Linked DNA regions of Oryctolagus cuniculus. The protein of the gene in region 1 purifies or fractionates together with the protein of each later gene. This does not show direct contact. Links are inferred from orthologs where the notes say so. Each region holds a gene or a part of one and is shown in the gene's direction. Other genes may lie near its edges. The genes, in order: RAB24 and GDI1.

Region 1 (11,007 bases):
TGGGTGTCAGGTGGACACCGTGTGCCGATGACACGCTGCCTGGCCCCTGGGCAGGACCTAGAAATTGCTCCCTCCTTGAAGCCCCATCATCTGCTCCTTGGCCTACTTCATCCCGGCCTCCTTCTTGGCCTCTCCCAGGCAGTCTGCCATTTTGCCCTAGAATGAGCTTTACTTCCTGTGAGACGCCAGGCCCCACACAAGCCCCTTGGCTGCTGTTTTTGTCTCACCTCTAGCCACTCCGCACAGACTCTGCCCTGTCCCGGTGCTGCTGCGCCCACTCTCCCCTTCTGGTTGAATGGCTGCCCTCCTGGGGCTTTGCCCAGGAGACCTCTTGGCTGTCCAGCCACTGGAGCTTCGCGGCTGGCAGGGGTGCCCCCCACCCCCTGGGGACTGATGCCCAAAGTCTCAGGGTTCCTGGGAGGGGAGGAAGCTGCGCCGCAGTTAGACACTGGCAGCTTTGTTCGGTCTGCAGCTTTCTAACAATTTAAATTAGCTGGCAGCACTCCCAAGGCCATTCGCTGAACCAAATCTGACTTCCCAGCTCCTCTTGCACGGGGAGATCTGGCGGGCAGCGTTGGGCAGGCCCCAGGCGGCTGACCCCGCCCTTGCTCCTCCTGGTCCACAGAAGCTGGAGGAGCAGGAGCAGCGGGCCCGGCGGCTCAAGGAGCGGCTGCGCAGCCAGCAGCAGAGCCTGCGGCAGCAGCTGGAGCGGCTGCGCGGGCTGCCGGGCGCCGGAGAGCGGGAGCGGCTGCGCGCGCACAGCCTGGACTCGTCGGGCCTCTCCTCGGAGCGCTCGGACTCGGATCAAGGTGAGTGCCGGAGGCCCTGGGCCGCGTGGCGCGTTGGCGCGTGGCCGTGGGCCCTTCTGACCGGCTCCTCCCTGTGCAGAGGAGCTGGACGTGGACGTGGACGTGGAGAGCCTGGTGTTTGGGGGCGAGGCGGAGCTGCTGCGGGGTTTCGGCGCGGGCCGGGAGCACAGCTATTCGTACAGCGCCGGCGCCTGGCTCTGACGCCAGGCTCTGCCCTGGTGGCCTCGACCCTCACCTTCTGCGCATGCTGGTTTGAGCCCCTGGACAGAAACCCCTCCGAGCCTTAAGGGCTGTCTGGAGTCATCTGTTGGCACGGACTAAAAGGACCCTTACATGGGAACAGGTGCTTGGCCTACCCTGCTGCTGGCTGCCAGGCGGACTCTGGGGGTTGGAGGCGCCTGGACCTCCCCAAGCCTCTCCAGGGAAAGGGGCCTGCTTGCCCGCCCCCCTTCCAGGCCTGTTTGTAGCACTTGGCTCAGGAAGCCTCTTGAACCCTCACGTTCCTCCCGGGACATGGCACCCTGGCCTCTGTGCCTCGTGTCCTGCACAGTATTCGCATTAAAAGCCTCTTTTGTAACTTCTGCTCCTGGTCTTGCCTGATGAGGACGGGGAAAACCCCAGCCACCAGTGGCACCCACTTTGCCTGGGGCCGGCAGCACACGGCGGAGTCAAGGTTCGAACCAGCGCTTTCTGACTCCAGAGTTGGCGCGGAGTGAATTCAACAAATATTTATTGAGTGCCTGTTATGCACAGATATGGTTCCGGGCGGCTGGGACACATCGGAGGACAGAACCGAGCCCTGCCCTCATGGAGCTTACAGTCTGTCATGTTTCCCCGCCACTGATCCCTGCACCTCTGCCAGCAGCCGCCCGGGCTCGGACGCGGCTGACACCCACCCCCAAACAGCAGAGAGGGCTGGAAGTGGATTTTTAATAATAAAGTACACAGGAGGGGGCGGGTGGGGGGCTGAGCGCACTGTGTGGGGTGCAGTGGCAGCGCTGGGGAGGGCCTGGGTCCCAGCAGGGCCAGACTGGCTACACGAACTGCTGCTGTTGCTGCTGCTTCTTGGTGGCGGCCTTGTTGGCCAGGTCCTTGGCCTTTTCCGTAGCTGCCAGCGCCGTCTCCTTGGCCTTCTCCGTGGCTTCCTTGGCTGTCTCAACAAGCGTCTTGGAAGGGGCCTCACCTGCAGCGAAGGCCAGGGCCGGCTTTAGGTACAGAGGGTGGACACCCCCCCCCCCGCCTCCGGCCCAGGCTCCCAAGGGGCTGCCCCGAGCTCTCACCTTGCAGCTTGGCCAAGATGTACTCAAAGCCCTTCATAGTCTTGGTCACATTGCTTTTGAAGCGGGCAAGACCAAATTCCTGGCAAGAGACAAGGGGAGGATCCTAGAAGCCGGCTCGGACGGCAGAGGCCCGGGCCCCACAGCCCCGCTGACAACTACTCACCTGAACCGCTCTGGAGACGCCAAACAAGCTGGAGGAGACCCAGGCTTCCCGGCGGATTTCAGTCCAGCCGCTGTTGTCTGAGTTCACACAGTAAACACATCGCTCCTCCACCATCTGTGTGGGGAGTCAGACCAACCACAACCACGGAGTCTCTCACTTTACCAACGCCAGCATCAGTCTGAGAAGTACCGGTGTGAAAATAGGTTCCTCCCCATGGCGCATCCCCAGCCAGGGTCGGGGGACCAGGCGGCCACACCCCTGGGTGTCGGGAGCCTTTATGCCTCGACGCGTACGGGGTGTGCAGCCTGGCTCCCGCCGACTGCGGCCTCCTCGGAAAGAGCACCCCCCTGCCAGATGGGCCCCCGCGGTCACCGGGCAGGAGCCCAGAAAGCGGGATACAGTGCGGCCGCGCTCACCGCAGCCCGGCAGGACACTTCCCCTCTCTGGCCCTCACTTCCCTCTTTGCAGACTGGGTAAGTGAGCTGAGAAAACAAGCTGGGGAGGGGGATTCTCTGAAGCTTTCAGGGTGTTCACACGCTGCACGTGGGCACCAGTGCTGGGTGCCGTACACAGGGGCTTTGCTTGGTGCCCGCAATAGCTCTGCAGGAGCCCTCCCGGCATGCACTGGCCAGCGGAGACGCTGTAGAATGATTCTCAAGCCACGGGCAAGAGAGCACAGGTGATGTTTCCCACAATCTCTGGAGCACTCCCATCAGATGAGGAAGACACTTCTGGAGTGAGTGGGAGTGGTGTGGGGCAGGGGGTGGGGACGTTGTGGCGCAGTGGGTTAAGTCACCTGTGACACTTGCATTTCATATCGGAGCACCAGTTCGAGTCCGGCTGCTCCACTTCTGATCCAGCTCCCTGCTAATGCGCCTGGGAAAGCAGCAGAAGATGGCCCAAGCGTTTGGGCCCCTGCACTTGGGAGGGGAGACCTGGAAGCAACTCTGGGCTCCTGACTTCAGACTGGCCCAGCCCCAGCCATCGCGGCCAGTTAGGGACTGAACTAGCAGATGGAACTCTGCCTTTCAGATAAAAAAAAATGAATCTTGAAAGAAAAAAAAAAAAAAAGAAAGTGGAGCAAGGGGCCATAGCCGCTCCCCGAGGTGCACGCAAGGCCGCCATCTGATGGACGCCCACCCTCAGCATCACTCCTGCAGGCCCCACCCAAAGGCGCGTCACGCAGTTTCCTGAAACAGGTGCCTCTCCCCCAGGGCACGGCTGAGTCAGGGCAGGGGCAGGGCAGGCTCCGGGCCACCCGGTCCTCAGGAATCTGCCTCGGTTCCCTAGCCACCTGCTCCTGAGCAGTGTGCTTCGGGGGGTGGGGGTAGGGGCCCCGGGGAGGTCTCACCATCAGCCGGGCGTGGTTGATGTTCCAGGTGAAGGTGGTCATGGTCTTATTCTGTGGGTCCACTATAGAGTCCTCCAGGATGTACACCGAGTGAGCAACATTGGCAGGAAATAGTCGCTCTGCCCAGCGGGGCATCCTGTTAGTCTTGGTCAGGAGTCGACGGGACAGGAGCTTCCGGTCAGGGGTCACCTCCCGGTGGACTATGTCTTCAGTCAAGACATGTTTGCTGCAGGTGTCAGAGTGCAGGTGACCATCGGGAACCTGCCCCCAGGGAAGCTCCCCGTTGGGGTTCCCACTTGGGGCAGCCCTGCCCAGCGCGCCACCCCTGCAATCTCGCCCAGTGATCTGGGCTGTGGCTCAGACTATCCCAGGGCAAATTCCAACTGCTGCCCTACCTCACTGACCTGGATTCCTGGCTTCCCGGCAGGGCGGGGCCTCGTGACTTCCTGCACGGGCAGACCCATGGGCAAGTGCCTGACTTGCAGCCCCAAGATCCCTCCCAGGGCCCGTGCGGCCGTCTCTTCCCGTCCCAACGTCCACAGAGAGGGCCTTGGCAAACCAGTGCCCAGGCCCAGCCACCTCCCAGGGCCTTCCGAGTCCGGCCCGGCCACTTCCTAGATAAGGCCTGCTGCCCTTAAGGCGGTCACGATTCCGGAAAGCCCTATGTCGGCCTCGATCCGCGGTTCCCCTTAGCCCCATTACTTGGGGGGATCGCCCGCACTTCGATCTCGACAGGGCGGAGATGGTGCCGGGGGTTGCTCTTCCCAGAGTCACGTACCTATAGGGATTCGGGTATCGCTGCCAAAAGGCAGCGAATACTTGGTCCCAGGAACTTCGGAGCACGCTCTGGCCCAGGAAATACTTCACCATCGTTAGTCCGGCCGGGGCGGACTCAGCGTCCGCACAGCATCAGGCGTGCGGAGCCCGGGGGCACGCGGAGGCCGGGCCGGGGCTCGGCGCACGCCCGCCAGGCTCGCAGCTCAGGTCAGTCACCTCCGCGCCGCGCCCAAGCCGCTGCCCGCCGCCGCCATGAGGAGCTGGCCAGCCGCGCGCCACTTCCGGCGCGGCGGCACAGTCCACCACTTCCGGCGCCGTCCACGTGACCTCTCGGCTCCGCCCCCTCGGCCTAGCGCCCCTCCCTCCGGAGTCGCGGCGCTCGCTGCGGGTCAGAGCAGGGTTCAGGGGGGACTCCGGGTTCAGTTGGGAAGCCTACCCCGAGCGGGAGTCCCAGCCGGGCCGGCGGGCGGGCGACCCGGAGGGCGAGCGCGGGACGGCGGCGTGCGGCGCGGCCAAGGTTCGCTGGCCCGCGCGCTCGCAGGCCGGCCGGGGTCTTGGGCTCTCCGAAGATACCCGGCGCTCGGGGCAGGCAGAAGAGCGGAGGCAGACGGGGAGGACGGGGGCCGAGCTCTGGCCTGACGCGGGGCCTCGAGCGCCGGGCTAGCGCGTGGGGTTAGGGGCCGAGCGGAGGTCGGGTGTGCCTCAGGACCCCGCCGTGGGTGAGGCGGCCCCAGGAGCATGAGCGGGCCCCGCGTGGACCTCAAGGTGGTGATGCTGGGCAAGGAGTACGTGGGCAAGACGAGCCTGGTGGAGCGCTACGTGCACGACCGCTTCTTGGTGGGGCCCTATCAGAACGTGAGTGCGCCAGCTCGGGGCGGCCGCGCGGGGAGGGGCCGGCACGCTCCCGCCGACCTGACCGCCTGCCCCTCGTTGCAGACCATCGGGGCTGCCTTCGTGGCCAAGGTGATGTCTGTAGGAGATCGGACGGTGACTCTAGGGATTTGGGTAAGTTTCCTGGGCACCCCGTTCGCGAGGTCTGCAGAGGGGGGCTCTGACCTGGGCCCCCGAGGCCACTGCCCAGCCCCAGGCCCTGGTTTCCCCTTCTGGAGGCTGGGGCTTGCTTTGCAGTCATGGGGGATTCTAGCCTGGTAACCCAGGCCGGGGCTCAGTCCTCCCCTGATTTTCAGGACACAGCAGGCTCTGAACGCTATGAGGCCATGAGCAGGATCTACTATCGGGGCGCCAAGGCTGCCATCGTCTGCTATGGTAAGAGGGGTTCTGGCCTATTCCTCAAGCAAGGTGTGGGTGCCTGGCGGGCCTCAGAACAACCCCTGACCCTCGCTCGCCTTTCCTGCATGCCCCACGCCAAGACCTTACGGACAGCAACAGCTTTGAGCGAGCCAAGTTCTGGGTGAAGGAGCTGCGTAGCCTGGAGGAGGTGGGTGGCCACACCTGGCTGGATGGGGGCCTGGGGGTGGGAGCTCAGTGGGTCCGTGGAGCCCACCCTGACCTTGGCTTCTGCTCCAGGGCTGTCAGATCTACCTGTGTGGCACCAAGAGCGACCTGCTGGAGGAGGACCGGCGGCGGCGGCGTGTGGACTTCCACGATGTCCAGGACTATGCAGACAGTAGCTGCTGCTCAGCCCCTGAGGGGGTGGGATGCGGGCGGGGAGTGGCTGCTTGGGTGGGCTACAGGCAAGGTACCTGCTTGGCTTCCTTGCATCTTTGGGGTCTGGGAGACTCTGAACTGCTAGGCTCCCTCTTTGTCTACTGGATTCTCAGGTGTGAGGCTTCGTCACTTCTCTTTACAGATATCAAAGCTCAGCTCTTTGAAACGTCTAGCAAGACAGGCCAGAGTGTGGGTGAGTGCTGGTCCTGGGGCCTCGCAGCAGGAACGGGCAGGGGCACCCCAGGCAGTAGAGTAGACGAGCCCTCTGGGCCCTCACCGGCCCTCTCTTCCTGTCAGACGAGCTCTTCCAGAAAGTGGCCGAGGATTACGTCAGCGTGGCTGCCTTCCAAGTGATGACAGGTGTGTGCTCCCCCGGACCGCCTCTCAGCCGGGGCGTCGAGCCCCGCCGAGCCCCGCCTGACCCCGTCCACGGAGCTAGGTGCTAAGCTGCCACCTCTCTTTCACAGAGGACAAGGGCGTGGATCTGGGCCAGAAGGCAAACCCCTACTTCTACAGCTGTTGTCATCACTGACTCGCCACTCACCTGGCCTGGGGAATAGTGGAATTCCCCAGGGGGCTGGACCCAGCTTTTGTCTGGGCTCAGGTGGTCCAACGTCTGAGCTACCCCAGGTCCCCATGGCAGCAGAGGTGGCACCGGCCTGTGCTGGCCCATGGAACGGAGGCAGTGTGGGCTGGCTGTGGGCATGAGGAGGGCTAAGGACCGATCTGGACCCCAGGCTTCTGCCCTGGACAACACTTGTATCTGCAGATTACTTAAGTGGCTTCTGATCTGTAAATAAAGTCAGTGCACTGTGACTCACACTCAGCCCCTTTCCCTGCTGTGTGGACCCGGTGTCAAGACACCTAGCTCTGAGAGCACCGGCCTGGCCTCACTTCTATACTAAGGCTCCTCCTATCTCTTACTTTCCTTTGGAAACCAAGGAACCTCAGCCCCGGGTTGCAGAGGAGCCCTTGGAGAAACAAGAGGTTCTTTGCTGTTCTTCAGTGAGAGGCTGGGGTCGGGGCACTACAAAGCTCACCATTCCTACTAGGTGCAGAGGAAGGCAAGGAGAGCACTCAGCCTGTGCAGCAGGGGCAAGCCCTGCTTAGATAATAAGGGGGCCTGGTAGGCCTGACCGCGTCTGTCGTGCCTGGGCCTGTGAGTCAGGCCTGTTGTTCAGATCCTGAGCTTCCCAGACATTCCACAGTGTGGCTTAATGGAAGGAAAGTCATTCAGTTCTGCAAGACAGAAAGGTCTCATGGATCCAGATTTGGATCCCAGCTAGCTACTTAGAAAGGCAGCCACACACTCAGCCTGAGTTACTCCTCTGTAAGATGAGGGGGCTGCTCCCCAGCTCAGGACCGTGAGCATCCTAGGGGAAAATGAACTCTGGTACCAAATGCTCTTCCCATACTCCTCCTCTGACAGCTTCTTGCTGGAAAGGCAGGAAGCAGACTCCCGAGGTTCTCCCAAAGGTATCAGGCCTTAAAGGTCCAAGTGTCTCTGAAGGCTCATGGGTTAGGGTACCCAGGGCCAACGCTCCCTGTTCAACAAGAAGCCTTTTCGGGTATGGGAGGTGTTGCCCTGCACCAGGAGCCTCACTTTCCAACTCACTGCTTTGCTGCCTTTATGCTCAGACTGAGCCTTGTACAGTACTCAACACCTGCCTCTTAAGAATGTAAAACTTGACCAACAAGCTCTGACTCATTTGAAAAGTGCTTTGGTTCTACTTCCTTTTTAAAAAACCAATTCCTCAAAATACACTTCCTTCACGAGTGATGGAGATTTCCTGTGGAAGGGGACTGAAACTGATACCAACCACTCCCAACAAGACAGACATGTAGCCCATAGCCACGGGGAGGAAACCCACACTACTCCCCCATCAAGGGCCTGGAGGGAGGCTCAGCTCTGTTGTGTTGCCCACTGGGGAACTCTCTGGGGTGGCTTTTGTTCTCACCCCAGACCAGTCCTCTGTCCTATTAGGCTACACCTCCCCAGAAACAATAAAACAAAACACAGGGCAAGGGCCATAAGAGTAAAGTTAAACTTTACTTTACAGTAATTTTTTTCTATATACAAAGAATTACAGTACATGTTTATGGAGACTCCTAGCACAGGGCTCCCTCTTTTTCACTAGGAGTTTCACTTAACAGCTGACAATCTGTGGGGCCGGGGAGGGGGGAGGGCAGAGAAAACCGTGACGGACCTTGGCTGACCCCCGACCCCCCGTCCCCCTTTCTTAAAAATATAAAGACAGATCTCTGTCATCAGCTTGTTGCTTTGCCAAGACCTAAACAGCTGCTCTTCCAGGAGCTCCTGTGTGCTGCACTGCCCATCCAACACACCTCATCACCTGCACGCATGCAGGCAGCACCCACCGTACACCTGGACACTGCTGGCTCTGCCCGACCCTAGAGGTTTAAAGCACCCAGAACCATTTCTGCTTCTGCTTCCTGTGCTTGCCTCTTGTCCACAAAGCTCGGCTCAACTTCCAGGGTGTTAAACCTGAAGCCCTCTAACAGCCTGATGTTTTCAAAGCCATGGGAAAGCAGCTCTAAAGGAGGGCTACACAAGAGTTGAACAGGCTGTTTTTGCTTACACTTGTAAGACACATTTCTTCCAAGGCTGTGGATTTCTAATTAAAATAAACTCTTTCCACGTCCTTAAGAAATATTACTCTTCATATTCATGAGCTATAGAGGTGCTCCCATGAGACTGGAAGAGGTAGAGAGGGGCAGGAGGTAACCCAGGGAGACCCCACACCCAGAGCTCTACCAACCTGTTCCAGGCAGTGTGGACGGAGGCTTATGGACAAGGTGACCCCAGCCCTGAGAAACTCAATGGCCACCTTCATCTGGACACGGGATCTCTTCCACCTCTGGAGAATGCTGGACTAACTCCAGGGTTGGGTGCAGGCTTTGCTGAGGCTCTGCTGGGTCCTCACCTCTAACAGAGCCTGAAAAAAAACCTTTCTACATAAATCTCCCAAGTAGGAACCTGGGTTTCTCAAGTCACCAGTCCCTCAATCCATGGCAGTGCTTATTTATACCATGAAATTAGCACCATCATTACTTTTTTTTTTTTTGTATACAAAGCAATTATCTACTCTTATTTCAATTTAGCTACAGCAACCTCTGGCCCTGCTGCCCTGGCCCTAGGAAGCTCAGCTGAGAGCTAACTGGCCACAGCCAATCAAAGCCTCTTGCAGCCACCTAGCTTTAAATGATCTGGAATGTCTAACATGGAACAGCTCGGAGGTTACTCAGCAGGGGAAGGGGGCTTGAGGCAATTCCTTTCTTGCCATGATCCACAGAGCACAGGACACTGGGCCCCTCAGACCTGGCCGATAAGCCCCAAGAGGGTGACACTATTCCAAAACAAAGCCTTAGGAGAAAACCCACTTTATAGGAGCAAGTTCAGTGCTTTCCTGATCCCTCTCCACGGGGACAGTGCCAGGACTGGACCTCCTTCCTGCCGTTCTGCTCTCATGAGGCAGCCTGGGGGGGGCAGCTCCAGCGAGCAGGTGGTGCTGAGCCCGGGACAGGACTGTGAGTTCATGTCCTGACTGTAGTGCGTGGGGGATTCAAAGAATAGAAGTTGTATTTTTTTTTTTTTTTTTTAAATCAATGCTAAAGGTGTGGATCAGCACAGTGATTTACATCATCAAACTCAGGGACTTCAGGAGAAAGCAGACGTTTTTTTAAAAACGTGGACACTTTGGAGCGGTGATAGCTGTTTTGCTATTAGAATGGGTTGGCTCCACCAGGAGAAACAAATAAGGCTTTGAATGCAAACTTCAAACGTTTCCATAATTTCTTCTGACTTTACAAGCTTGCCCCTCAAAAAGCCCTCCAAGGGAGCCGGGTCGAAAGCAGGCTATCTTGAGATCCAAATACCACAGTACCAATCCTGCACAATGATAAAAGGTTTCCTTTAGCTGCCTAGTTGCACCCTCTTAGGGAAAAGGGTCTCCTTATAGGCTTGAGGAAGTCTAAAAGGGCTGGCGAAGTCACTCCCTCCCCACCTTCACTTAAGAGTCTCATTTCCAATAGTTCTGATTCTACTTCTATAGTTGGATAGTGACTGCTTTCATGATTTTAACAATCTAAAATCAGATGCCGCTGTCAGTGGACCTAAAAGCTCCAATGTCCAGCTTCCAATCCACAACCTGAGAGTCTTTCAGTGGCCCTGATGGAAGCCTGATGTCCATCCATTCAGGTGAAGAACTGACCCCCAGAACCAGGTACGGCTCACAAGCTGTTTTCCGAGGCAGGTCTGGAAAGCAGCCTCTAGTGAATGGTGGAGAATGGAGAGTGGCTAATCACGGCCCCCTTTCCCTCAGTCCTTCCTGTCTTGTGAGACACTGTCTAGATGGCCGTCTAGCCAATTACCTACCAAAGCCTACTTCAGTGAAGCTAGTTCAGGATGAAACTTCTCCACTTACATTTTTACATAGCCTGCACGCCCCACCCCCCCGATTCACAGTTTATTTCATGGAACAAAGAGCTACGGTAATTTAGCACACAACACAGTGAAAAGATGCCGACAGTGCAGTGTGGGCATCTTCTGATCACAACTACAGATGACAGGAGAGAAAAGGGCACAGGACTGGCACCAAGCAAACCCTACTCATACAACCTAAGAGATCAGGGAAAGGGACCTACTAGCTGCAGTTATATACGTATTCTCACACATGATAAATACTTAATATAGTCAACTTTCATGTTCTGGATGAATTTTCTTTAAAAATATCTTTTTCATGGTTTAAAATTCTTTTAAAAGAAAATAAGATGCTTTATGTTTTCTCTTCCTTTTGAACAAAGAGCTTTTCCTCCCTGGTGATTAGGAAGAGTTAGCATGAAAGGGGAGAACTAGGCAGGTGGAATTCACAGAGGAGATTCCGAGGTCTCAGTGAAATGCAGGGAGAGGTCCCTAAACTTGGGACAGCCCTGCCCAGC
Region 2 (10,634 bases), on another chromosome or scaffold:
CTTTTGTGTAGCAAGTTCTCCCTCCCCCAGCTTTATGGGGCTCCCTACAGCAGCCAAGAGCTTCAGGTTGCCCGAGGTTGGCAGAATGTGGAAGTGACCACTTCTGTGTCCCGCTTGGCTGTCGTTGTTGTATCCTGGTGATGTTGTGTTAACAATCAACACTGTGCTGGGGTTTATTTCTGTGACTTCAGGAGGAAGGAACCTCCATGACAGGTGGGCTGGGCGTGACCACTGTGTTTCAGGAGCGCCTGGCAGGAGCCTGGCATGCTCCATTGTCTCCTTCCTAATAAAATAAAGATGGGTCGCCACACGTTGGGCCTCTTGTCATTCGTTTCTGGACTAGAAATGAGGAAAGCGTTGGACTGAGGGATGGGAGGAGGGCAGGAGGGCGGGCGGGTGCGGGGAGGGGGGGAGGTGGCCCTAGATGTATCCCAGCCAGGCCAAAATCCAGGAGCCAGGGCCCGCCAGGGACTCTTTTAGCAAACTGGGCCCCTAACCGGTTAAGGTAGGGAAGGAGTGGTCGGGACAGCGGTCGCCGCGACAATGGCAGCTTCAGCGTCGTGAGGGGGCCGCCCCCGGCTGCTGCAGCAGCGCGTGCCCGGCCCGCGGGGCCGCGCGGAGCCTCCCGGGGGGCGGGGCGGGGCGGGGCGCGCGCGGCTCCCGCGCACGGATCCCTCTCGGACCGCAGTACCGGTCATCGGACCGCCCCGCCTAGCTTCCTCTGGGTCCTTGGCAAACGGCGACGCCGGCAGAGCCGCACTGGTGCTAGGGCCCGAGTACCGGCAACCCTCTTAGGAGGCAAGCCAGGGAAGCGGTGATCACTGCTAGGCGTGGTGGGGCCTGGGGAAGTGTTGGGACTTTTTGACGCGGCGGAGGGGTCAGGCGGCGTTCGAAGTGCCGCCATCTTTGGTCCAGTGCGGCGGCGGCGGCGGCGGCGGCTGCTGCTGTGGTGAAACGGGAGGAGGAGCCGAGCGGGCGCTGGTACCAAGGCCTGACCATGGACGAGGAATACGATGTGATCGTGCTGGGGACCGGCCTCACCGTAAGTGTGGCCTCGGGCGCCTGCGCCTCCGCTTCGTGCCTTCCCGAATCCCTGCGATGATGCAGCCGCTGGCCGCCAAACCCATCCTCCCATCATTCCTATCCTCTGCCCTTGGGTCCCCGAAACGCCAGCCCCGTACCCACCCCACTGCCTTCTCTTTCCCCACTCCCCAGCCCCCTTGGCCTCGCGACGTCTTCTCTGCTCGCTGCCATGACCTCGAAGCGGGGTCTCCTGGCTGCTCCCTTGACTCCCTGGTGCCGACTCCCGGCCTCTCCCATCTTCCCTACCCTGCCCTGCTGGGCCGGAAAACGTATCCCCCACTCGGCCTGATGCCCCCCAGTCCCTCCCATCCAGTCCCCACCCATCGCCCCCACCCATCACCTTCCTAGTATTGTGCCCCCCCAACTTATACTAATCTTAGTAGGGGTGAAGTACGAGGACCTGGGGTTAGGGGGCCTTGCCAGGTTGGGGCCTCGTCCTGTGTTCCTGGCTGCTTCTGGGATCAGAAGAGCCAGGGAATGTTCCAGAATAACTAACAGCGAGGGCAGTGACCACATTCCCGCTCCCCCACCCTGGTTTCCCATGGAGACCTGAGGCTGAGCAATATCTGCAGCCTTTGTCCTTGGGCTGGTGACAGTGACTAGGGAGAATGTTCATCGTCCCCCTTCCCCCACAGCGTGTTCACCCGCTCCCCTGAGAGACACATTTCCCTCAGGCCAGGCCCAGATGCCCCTCCTGAGCCCAGGTGGGGAAGGCTTAGGGTCAGGGGCTCCTGGCCTTTGACGACGGAGCAGCCGAGGGTGGGGCCTGAGAGTCCAAGTGCCTTTCTTCACTTCCCTTTTGGGCGCCCTCTGCGGCCTGGCCAGGTCCGCTGTGTGCCTCATTGTGTCTTATCTGCCGGATTGTGCGGCTCTGCACTGATAGAGGACTTTCTTGGCAGTCGGTGCCATGAGACTGTCCTTGTGTCTGCTGGACACTCTGTCTCCCCCGACTCCTTCATTATTTCTCTCTGGTTCACCTCTGCTTAGCAGGGTAAAAAAGGAGACGGGCGGATGTAGCCATCGCCACCAGTGTTAGGCAAGGCGGCGGCGGCGGAGGCTGGGGGCGTGGAAGGAGCTGTCCATTGTGGCAGGCTTGGGGAGGAGAACAGATCAGGGCTGCTGGTGCGAAGTGGGCAGGTGGGAGCGCACCGGCTGTCCTCACACCCCTAGGAGTGCATCCTGTCTGGTATCATGTCTGTGAACGGGAAGAAGGTGCTGCACATGGACCGGAACCCCTACTATGGGGGCGAGAGCTCCTCCATCACTCCCCTGGAAGAGGTAAGGCTGCCAGCCTGGCCCAGGCCGGGCCCTTGGAAACCTCTCACTGGAGCCATAGTGTAGCAGCAGCGGGTGGCAGGGAGAGGGAGGGCCAGTCCTTGAGGTGTCTCTCTCTCTCCCCCTCCTGCTTACAGTTATATAAGCGTTTTCAGCTGCTGGAGGGGCCCCCTGAGTCGATGGGCCGGGGCCGAGACTGGAACGTTGACCTGATCCCCAAATTCCTCATGGCCAATGGTGAGGGAGATGGAGGAGCTGCTGCGGTTTTCCTAGGGGCGCGGTGGTGACTGGGAAGGACCGGAGGGGGTTGGGCTCCAGACAAGGGCCCGCCAGGCTGGCCAGAGCTCCTGCAGGGAGCTGTGCTGATGTTGTCCCCACCACAGGGCAGCTGGTAAAGATGCTCCTGTATACGGAGGTGACTCGCTACCTGGACTTCAAGGTGGTGGAGGGCAGCTTTGTCTACAAAGGCGGCAAGATCTACAAAGTGCCATCCACTGAGACCGAGGCCTTGGCTTCCAGTGAGTGTGGGTCTCCCGACCTCAGGGCGGGTGGCAAGGTAGACACCGGGAGCCGGCCACTGTACGCCCGAGGCTGCATCCCCTGTGAGGTAGCAGATGGCCCTTGCTCTGTTCCTGCTGCTGCCATGTGCCTCACCTCACAGCGGCTTGCTAGCAGGGCGATCCGCGTGCAGAGAGGAGTGGAGGGTGCTCCTTTTCGGAAGCCTGTGACAGGGGCTCCGCTTGAGCCCTGGAACATCTCTAAGTGTCGGAGCCAAGAGGGCCTTCAGAGTGTGCCCGGCCCAACCCCCTCTTCACATGGGTGGGGAAACCGAGGCCGAGACAGGTAGATTACGCTAAGGTCATGTGACAGACCTCACTGGGAGCCGGGATGCCAGCTTTCTCGGCCAGCCCACGGGGGTGGGGTTGGGGGGGGGCGGGAAGGAGAATTTTGTATTCTAGTGCAAAGGGTCCCCCCTTGCCGCCTTCTTCAGATCTGATGGGCATGTTTGAGAAACGGCGCTTCCGCAAGTTCCTGGTGTTTGTGGCAAACTTTGATGAGAATGACCCCAAGACCTTTGAGGGCGTCGATCCCCAGACTACCAGCATGCGTGACGTATACCGGAAGTTTGACCTGGGCCAGGATGTCATTGATTTCACTGGCCACGCGCTGGCACTCTACCGCACTGATGAGTGAGGGGAAGCTGGTGTGGCGCGGTCCCCTTGCCTGGCCTTTACCCTGCCTCCCCAACACCTGCCCACTGCTCCCTCTGCCTACCCTGCACATTTCTCGTACTCAGCCATAGGCTCCCCTGTTGCCTGTCCGCCCCTCCCCTGCACTTGACCCCCCGGCTCCCCTGGGCCATTCGGGGTGGTGGGGTGAGCCAGGGAGCCTGTTGGAGCATCTTCCCTGACCTCTGTCCCCCCAGCTACCTGGACCAGCCCTGTCTGGAGACCATTAACCGTATCAAGTTGTACAGTGAGTCCCTGGCCCGGTATGGCAAGAGCCCATACTTATACCCACTCTACGGCCTGGGCGAGCTGCCCCAGGGCTTTGCAAGGTGAGAACGTGGCTTTGTGTAGTTGGGATGACTAAGTGGGACTGAGAGCAACAATAGCAATGCCTCCCTTGGGGATTTCCACAGCATTTCCTACTCTGACATCTGAGATGGGGACACAGCCCCAGCACAAAGCCCTGGGAGGCAGACTCAGGAACCTTGAGTCTGCGCTTAGTGGGGAGCTGGACTTTGTTCTGGTCCCTCAGGCTCCTCTTTCTGTGTGGCGCTGGTCCTTCAGGCCACCCTCACACTAGCCCTTTGCAGGATATTCTAGGCATGGAGTTCCAAAGACCACAGTAAGATGGGATGTGACGTTTTTAAAAGATTTATTTATTCCAAAGGCATATATATATATATATATATATATATAGAGAGAGAGAGAGAGAGAGAGAGAGATAGATAGATATCTTCCATCCTCTGGTTCACTCCCCAGATGGTCACATGCCCAAGGCTGGGCCAGGCCAAAGCCAGTAGCCAGGACTTTGTTCCAGGTCTCCCATGAAGGTTCAAGGGCCCAAGCACTTGAGCCATCTCCTGCTGCTTTCTCAGGCCATTAGCAGGGATCAGAGGTGGAGCAGCCAGGACTTGAACTGGCACCCATATGGGGTGCTGGTGTCACAGGTGGTGGCTTTACCCGCTACCCCACAGTGCTGGCCGGGATAAACTGCCGAGGGTCCTGACACCGCCTGCCTGGGGAAGCCTCCTCTATACCTCAGTGGTGGCAGGGCACGGTGCAGGAGACTTGGTCCCCATTTCTCCTGGGAGGGGCACTTGAGCTTCTCTCCCCTTCCCACAGATTGAGCGCCATCTACGGGGGCACATACATGCTGAACAAACCTGTGGACGACATCATCATGGAGAATGGCAAGGTTGTGGGTGTGAAGTCTGAGGGAGAGGTAAGCCTTCCCCAGGCCATGGGGCCATCGTGGTTAGGGCGGGGCTCGCCTACCTCCTCTGCTGCCAGGTCTGCTGCACACCTCAGCCCCAGGGCTTTAGAGCTGAGAACTGGGGGTCCAGAAGCCATTCCTGTTGGCGGGAGGTCCCCTTCAGAGGTGGTGTACTGGGGCCAGTGCTGTGGCGCAGCAGGTTAAACCACTGGCTGCAACGTCGGCATCCCCTATGAGCACTGGTTCCAGTCCCAGCTGCTCCACTTCCGAGCCACCTCCATACTAATAGCTTGGGAAAGCAGTGGAAGATGGTCCAAGTGCTTGGGCTCCTGCTCCCACGTGGGAGAGCTACATGGAGTTGCAGGCTCCTAGTTTAGATCTGGCCCAGCCCTGGCTGTTGTCATTTGGGGAGGGAACCAGGAGATGGAAGATGTGTGTGTGTGTGTGTGTGTGTGTTTCCTTCTGTCACTATGTCTTTCAAATAAACAAATCTTTAAAAGAAAAACCAAAAAAACAAAAGCCACAAAGATCACGAGCTGTGTGTAGTGCAGAAAGCACTGTTGATCACAGTGTGCCTGCAGCCGGGGCTCACCCCATTTCTGGACTCACCTGCCTGCCCTGCCGGCTGTGGCTGTGCGTTCCAGGAGAGTGGAGCCTCTGCCTGCTGCCTGGCCTCGTGCGTGGGCTCAGCCCCACGAGGTTTTAGGGCAGGGATCGGACAGAGGTAAAGCCCTCCGATGCCTTCACAGGTGGCCCGCTGCAAGCAGCTGATCTGTGATCCCAGCTACATCCCAGACCGCGTCCGGAAGGCTGGCCAGGTTATCCGCATCATCTGTATCCTCAGCCACCCCATCAAGAACACCAACGATGCCAATTCCTGCCAAATCATCATCCCCCAGAACCAGGTCAACAGGAAGTCAGGTAGGCCGGGGCACACGTGACGTCCTCCTGGGTGTTCTCTGTGGGCTTGCTCCGTCTCTCCCTGTCAGCCTTGGGGCTCCCCACCTGATCCCTCCACAGCAGAAATGAGAGCCGCGTGACAGTCCCCACGACTTGGGGCCCCAGGGATTGGGTGGCTTGGACTCTTTCTCCTTGGGAGGGTGACAGCCAGGATGCTGCCCATTGTGTGGGGCGGGGTGATTGGATCAGGTGGGCCAGGATCCCATGCAGCCCCTAGGCGCCTTCTCTTTGCATGGTGTTCACTCTGGCCCGTGCTAACTGAGCACTTCCCGTGGCCAGACATCTACGTGTGCATGATCTCCTATGCACACAACGTGGCTGCGCAGGGCAAGTACATCGCCATTGCCAGCACCACAGTGGAGACTGCGGAGCCGGAAAAGGAGGTTGAGCCAGCTCTGGAGCTGCTGGAGCCTATTGACCAGAAGTAAGGGGTTGCACGGAGCCCGAGGGGGTGGGGAGGACCAGGAAGGGCGGGGCCTGTTGCGAGGCTTGTCTCTGCCTCTCAGGTTTGTGGCTATCAGTGACTTGTACGAGCCCATTGATGATGGTTCTGAGAGCCAGGTAAGTGCCTGTCCCAGCCCCAAGTCCCGGCCGCCCACCCGGCCGCCCTGCCCAACTCACCTGAGGCCCTGGGCTCTGGCTGTTGCCAGGTTTTCTGTTCCTGCTCCTACGATGCCACCACACACTTTGAGACAACCTGCAATGACATCAAGGACATCTACAAGCGCATGGCTGGCTCAGCCTTTGACTTTGAGAACATGAAGCGCAAACAGAACGACGTCTTTGGAGAAGCTGACCAGTGACTGCTGCCCCTGCTGCCCCCGCCGCCCCTCCTGCGTCCTGCAGGGCCAGGGAGATGTGCGGCAGCACCCCTGTTTCCAGCATCTCTGCTTCCCCCACCACATTCCTACTACCCACCTCATTGATTCACTGACCAAATCCTTAACCTTAGCGATGGTTTGGGAGATGGGGGGTTGGATAGCATCTCTTCCTTGGCCCTTCCTTATCCTAGGAAAAGACGGTTCCTTTCTTCGTGCGTGTCTCTTCCCCTCGCCCCTAATTCTTCTGCTCTGTCTGGGAAGAACATGGAGGAAAAGCTGGCTTCTGCCCCCACCGCTCTTACTCCTACTGTAGTGGCCTTTGGAGATGCCCCCTGCCTCCCCCCACCAACTCTCGTGTGTTGGAAAGAAGGGGCCCTCCCAGCACAAAATTGCATTCCTTTTCCCCGTAATTTATTCTAATTTATTAACTGCAGCCCACCCCACCTGAGCCTGCATCCTCCTAGAGCAACCTGGGGGCTGTCCAGTGAACTCTCCCAGCCCCTCCCAGTCCTGGCCTAGCCTGGGCAGCCGGGAAGGCTTAGGTGTGGCCCTGGTGGAGTTTGATCTTCTGTTTTGGTTTCTTGTCTGTGTTTGCATTCTCTGGTACTTGAGAGAGAGAAGAAATGAGAGCAAAGCAGAAGGAGGTGGGAAAATGGATCCCGACCCCATGTGCCCTGCCCCACCCCTTTCCTTTAGTGGTGGGAAACCCTTACTTACCTTGCGAAGTGAATGTGTCCCCTTCCCCAACCTCTAGTGTATTTCACGGAAAACAAAGCCTCCCAATAAAACCGTGTTGAAACCTGTGCCTGCGTCTGTAGTTCTTGGCAGGGCCTTGGCTCCCTGCGTTGGGGTCTGACTCTGGAAGCTGACATTCTTCATCAGGGCGTTTCAGAGGAGGCTGACATGCAACTGATCTGCCCAGGGCCCTCCAGGGAGTTAGTGCTGGCACCAGGACTGCCACCTTCAGGCCTGGTGAGGGAGAGAACTCGGGCCCCGCTTTGGATGGGAATCAAAAGTCCCAGGTAGGGTAGCAGGGATGCCAGTCTCCAGATCAATGGCCAATTAGGTGAGGGGGAGCGTGGACAACCAAGGCCTGACGTCAGGCAGGGAGGAGGCAGGAGGACTAGGGGTTATGTCCTTGGGTAGAGGTCCACAGCAAGCAGGTGGAGGAAATAGGGTGACCAGGGGGTTCCAACGTGGAGTCAGGGTTAATAAGCAAGCGCAGGAAGCCGGGGCCCCCAACCTCCAGGCCAATGAGGCATGGGAGTCAAGGCTGGGAACCGGCCTAGCCCCGGAAAGCGGGCGGGGCGGGGCGGGGCGGGGCGGGGCGGGCGGCGGTCACGTGCCTGGAGGGCCGGCGCGGCGCGGGGCGGGGCAGGGCAGGGCGCCCGCGCAGTCCCTGGTGACTGACGTCACGCGTCAGCTGACTGCGCCGCCGCTGCCTCTGCCTCCGCCTCCGCCGCCGCCGCCGCCACCGCCACCGCCACCGCCACCGCCACCGCCACTGCCACCGCCGAGACTCAGCCGGGCCGTTGTCAGTGTCGCCGCCGCCATCGCCATGGCTCAATACAAGGGCGCCGCAAGCGAGGCGGGCCGCGCCATGCACCTTATGAAGAAACGAGAAAAGCAGCGCGAGCAGATGGAGCAGATGAAGCAGCGGATTGCAGAGGTGCGGGCCGGGGCGCCTCGGAGCATGCGCGCCGCCGGGGCCCCCTGGCGGCCGCGTGCGACGCTGGGGCCCTGGGAAACCCCGGGCGGCGTGCTGCGAGTTCTTGGAGGGCTGGCCCTGCGCCGGGGCGGGGCCCTTGCTTGTCGACCTCCAGCAGGAGCCGGAAGCGAGCCAGCGGGTCTCATCTGTAAAATGGGCCCAGGATTTGAGCTAGCTGGATTGTAGCTAGAGTCTAGCAGAGAGATGTCACCCTCTGTGTTTGTGTTGATGGGCGCCTCCACGGCCCTTCCCAAGCACAGCGCATTGTGGCTCGATTCCCTCCGCTCTCGGGGCGAGGTTCCTGCCCTGACCCAATGGGTACTGGGAAGGGCAGACCCTCTCCCCAGTAGAGCTGCAGGGGGCGCCCCGCAAAGCTTGGCTTCTCCGCCGGCCATTGAGGCACATTGCAGATCCTCTGTGCGCCCTGTTCGCTCACCAAAGGCGAACCTTCGGGTGCTAGTGGTCCAAGCAACACTTCAGCAAGTGTCCAGTGAGAGTGGGCTGTCAGCAGGGGAACCAGTGTCGCAGAGGCCTGCGTGCCCAGGGACAGTCTGGCAAGCTAAAAGTAGATTTCTCTGCTGGCCACATCTTTTGGAGACCCCAGAGGTGGCTCAGTGGCACCAAGTGGCTGAGGCTGCACGGAAGAGGCCTTGTGGTAAAGCTGTTGGCAACATCGGGAATCTGGAGGGAGAAAACTCGCTCCCAAAGGGGCTGGCTTCCTTGACCATTCTTCTGGGCTGCAGGAGCTTTAGCTTAAAGGCTACAGACAGAAACAGCCAAAGGTGAGGTGGTCCCAGGCTACCCAGGGAACATTACCCCCAGCCTCATGGACCCTTCCATCAACAAAGGAAAGGGGACATGTCTTTTCCAGGGTCACATTGTAGTGACTCGAGGGGCAGATCTAGGACCAGCACCCAGTTCCTGAAAGCGTGCTGTTTCCAGCTGGAGTAGCCGGCGGGGGGCGGGGGCAGGGGCGCGGGCGCGGGTGCTCATCGCCACTCTCACTCCCGGACAGGAGAACATAATGAAATCCAATATCGACAAGAAGTTCTCTGCGCACTATGATGCGGTGGAGGCTGAGCTCAAGTCCAGCACCGTGGGTGAGCAGGGCGCATGTGCCGTCGTCGCCGGAGCCCAGGGGCCACTGGTTTGCTGGCCCGAGTGGCTGACCCGCCCCATGTCCCCTTGCCTCACAGGTCTGGTGACCCTGAATGACATGAAGGCCAAGCAGGAGGCCCTGGTGAAGGAGCGGGAGAAGCAGCTGGCCAAGAAGGAGCAGTCGAAGGAGCTGCAGCTGTGGGTGCTCGCGGCACCTCCTGGCTATGGAGCTCGTGCCCGTGGGCCCCTGGGCTGCTGGGGAGGTCCCGTCTCGCAGTCTCGCACAGGGGGCTCTGGGTCAGGGAAGGGAGGACATGGGACGTGACGCCTGCGTGCCCTTGATAGGAAGCTGGAGAAACTGCGAGAGAAGGAGCGCAAGAAGGAGGCCAAGCGGAAGATCTCTAGCCTGTCTTTCACCCTGGAAGAAGAGGAGGAGGGGGCTGAGGAGGAAGAGGAGGCAGCCATGTACGAGGAGGAGCTGGAAAGGGAAGGTGAGCGTGGGCTCGGGGCAGGCGGGTGGGCTCGTCCTTCCACAGTGGTGGCTTGGGTTCCTGGCTTCTTGGCATAGGAGAGGAACGCACGGGTCCCAGGCTGCACTGGGTTTTAATTTTTAAAAATTTTTGTAGAAGATTTTATTCATTTATATATGTTGAAAGAGGGAAGGACAGAGGTCTCCCATCTGCTAGTTCACTCCCCAGATGGCCTCAATGATCAGGGCTGGGCTAGGTGGAAGCCAGGAGCGTCTTCCGGGTCTCCCACGTCGCTGCAGGGGCCCAAGGCCTTGGGCCATCTTCCACTGCTTTCCCAGGCCACAGCAGAGAGCTGGATCGGAAGTGGAGCAGCTGGGACTAGAACTGGCACCTATATGGGATGCCGGCACTTCAGGCCAGTGGCTTGACCTGCTACTCTACCATGCTGGCCCCCCCGCACCTTTTGTTACAGCTCAGTGTGGGCTCAGTGTCAGAAGCAGACTGGTACCCAGTCCGAATGTTCCAGAAGCTGCTCTTCACTAGTGCTGCGCAGGATGGTCTCAAGCCCAGGCTGGCTGGTCCAACCTTGCAACGTTGGAAGTGTTCGCATGGCCCGAGATGGTAGCCGCTTGGCACGGGTGGCCCAAGCGCTTGCCATGTGACTGAGGCCCCTAGTAGTTAATTCAGTGTTGAATAGTTTCCACCTGATCTTACATATCTGCTGAAATTCAGTGGCTACTGGTTTGGCCCCAGAATTAGGGGCCATCAGGTACAAAT

What was found.
Region 2: the proteins of RAB24 (region 1) and GDI1 purify together in Homo sapiens (affinity purification with mass spectrometry; 3 studies listed by BioGRID and IntAct, counting the BioPlex papers as one, with this or other methods). This does not show direct contact. The link is inferred for Oryctolagus cuniculus from reciprocal best matches to the Homo sapiens genes RAB24 and GDI1.

What each region holds. Positions count from the first base shown.
Region 1 is NC_091437.1:63,298,371-63,309,377, reverse strand, and holds RAB24 (ras-related protein Rab-24), read left to right. Parts: upstream 1-4,745; 5' UTR 4,746-5,118; coding exon 5,119-5,235; intron 5,236-5,316; coding exon 5,317-5,385; intron 5,386-5,567; coding exon 5,568-5,646; intron 5,647-5,750; coding exon 5,751-5,818; intron 5,819-5,907; coding exon 5,908-6,007; coding exon of another isoform or gene 6,008-6,033; intron 6,034-6,190; coding exon 6,191-6,241; intron 6,242-6,345; coding exon 6,346-6,408; intron 6,409-6,515; coding exon 6,516-6,580; 3' UTR 6,581-6,870; downstream 6,871-11,007. Other genes in the region: MXD3 (max dimerization protein 3), read left to right, coding at 626-809, 889-1,010; PRELID1 (PRELI domain-containing protein 1, mitochondrial), read right to left, coding at 1,844-1,992, 2,090-2,192, 2,253-2,366, 3,604-3,829, 4,382-4,473.
Region 2 is NC_091453.1:132,667,145-132,677,778, forward strand, and holds GDI1 (rab GDP dissociation inhibitor alpha), read left to right. Parts: upstream 1-997; coding exon 998-1,042; intron 1,043-2,253; coding exon 2,254-2,361; intron 2,362-2,495; coding exon 2,496-2,595; intron 2,596-2,741; coding exon 2,742-2,876; intron 2,877-3,349; coding exon 3,350-3,548; intron 3,549-3,784; coding exon 3,785-3,916; intron 3,917-4,709; coding exon 4,710-4,809; intron 4,810-5,549; coding exon 5,550-5,721; intron 5,722-6,039; coding exon 6,040-6,184; intron 6,185-6,266; coding exon 6,267-6,321; intron 6,322-6,410; coding exon 6,411-6,563; downstream 6,564-10,634. Other genes in the region: protein FAM50A, read left to right, coding at 8,140-8,250, 9,305-9,389, 9,486-9,585, 9,733-9,878. UniProt on the Homo sapiens protein: Regulates the GDP/GTP exchange reaction of most Rab proteins by inhibiting the dissociation of GDP from them, and the subsequent binding of GTP to them. Promotes the dissociation of GDP-bound Rab proteins from the membrane and inhibits their activation.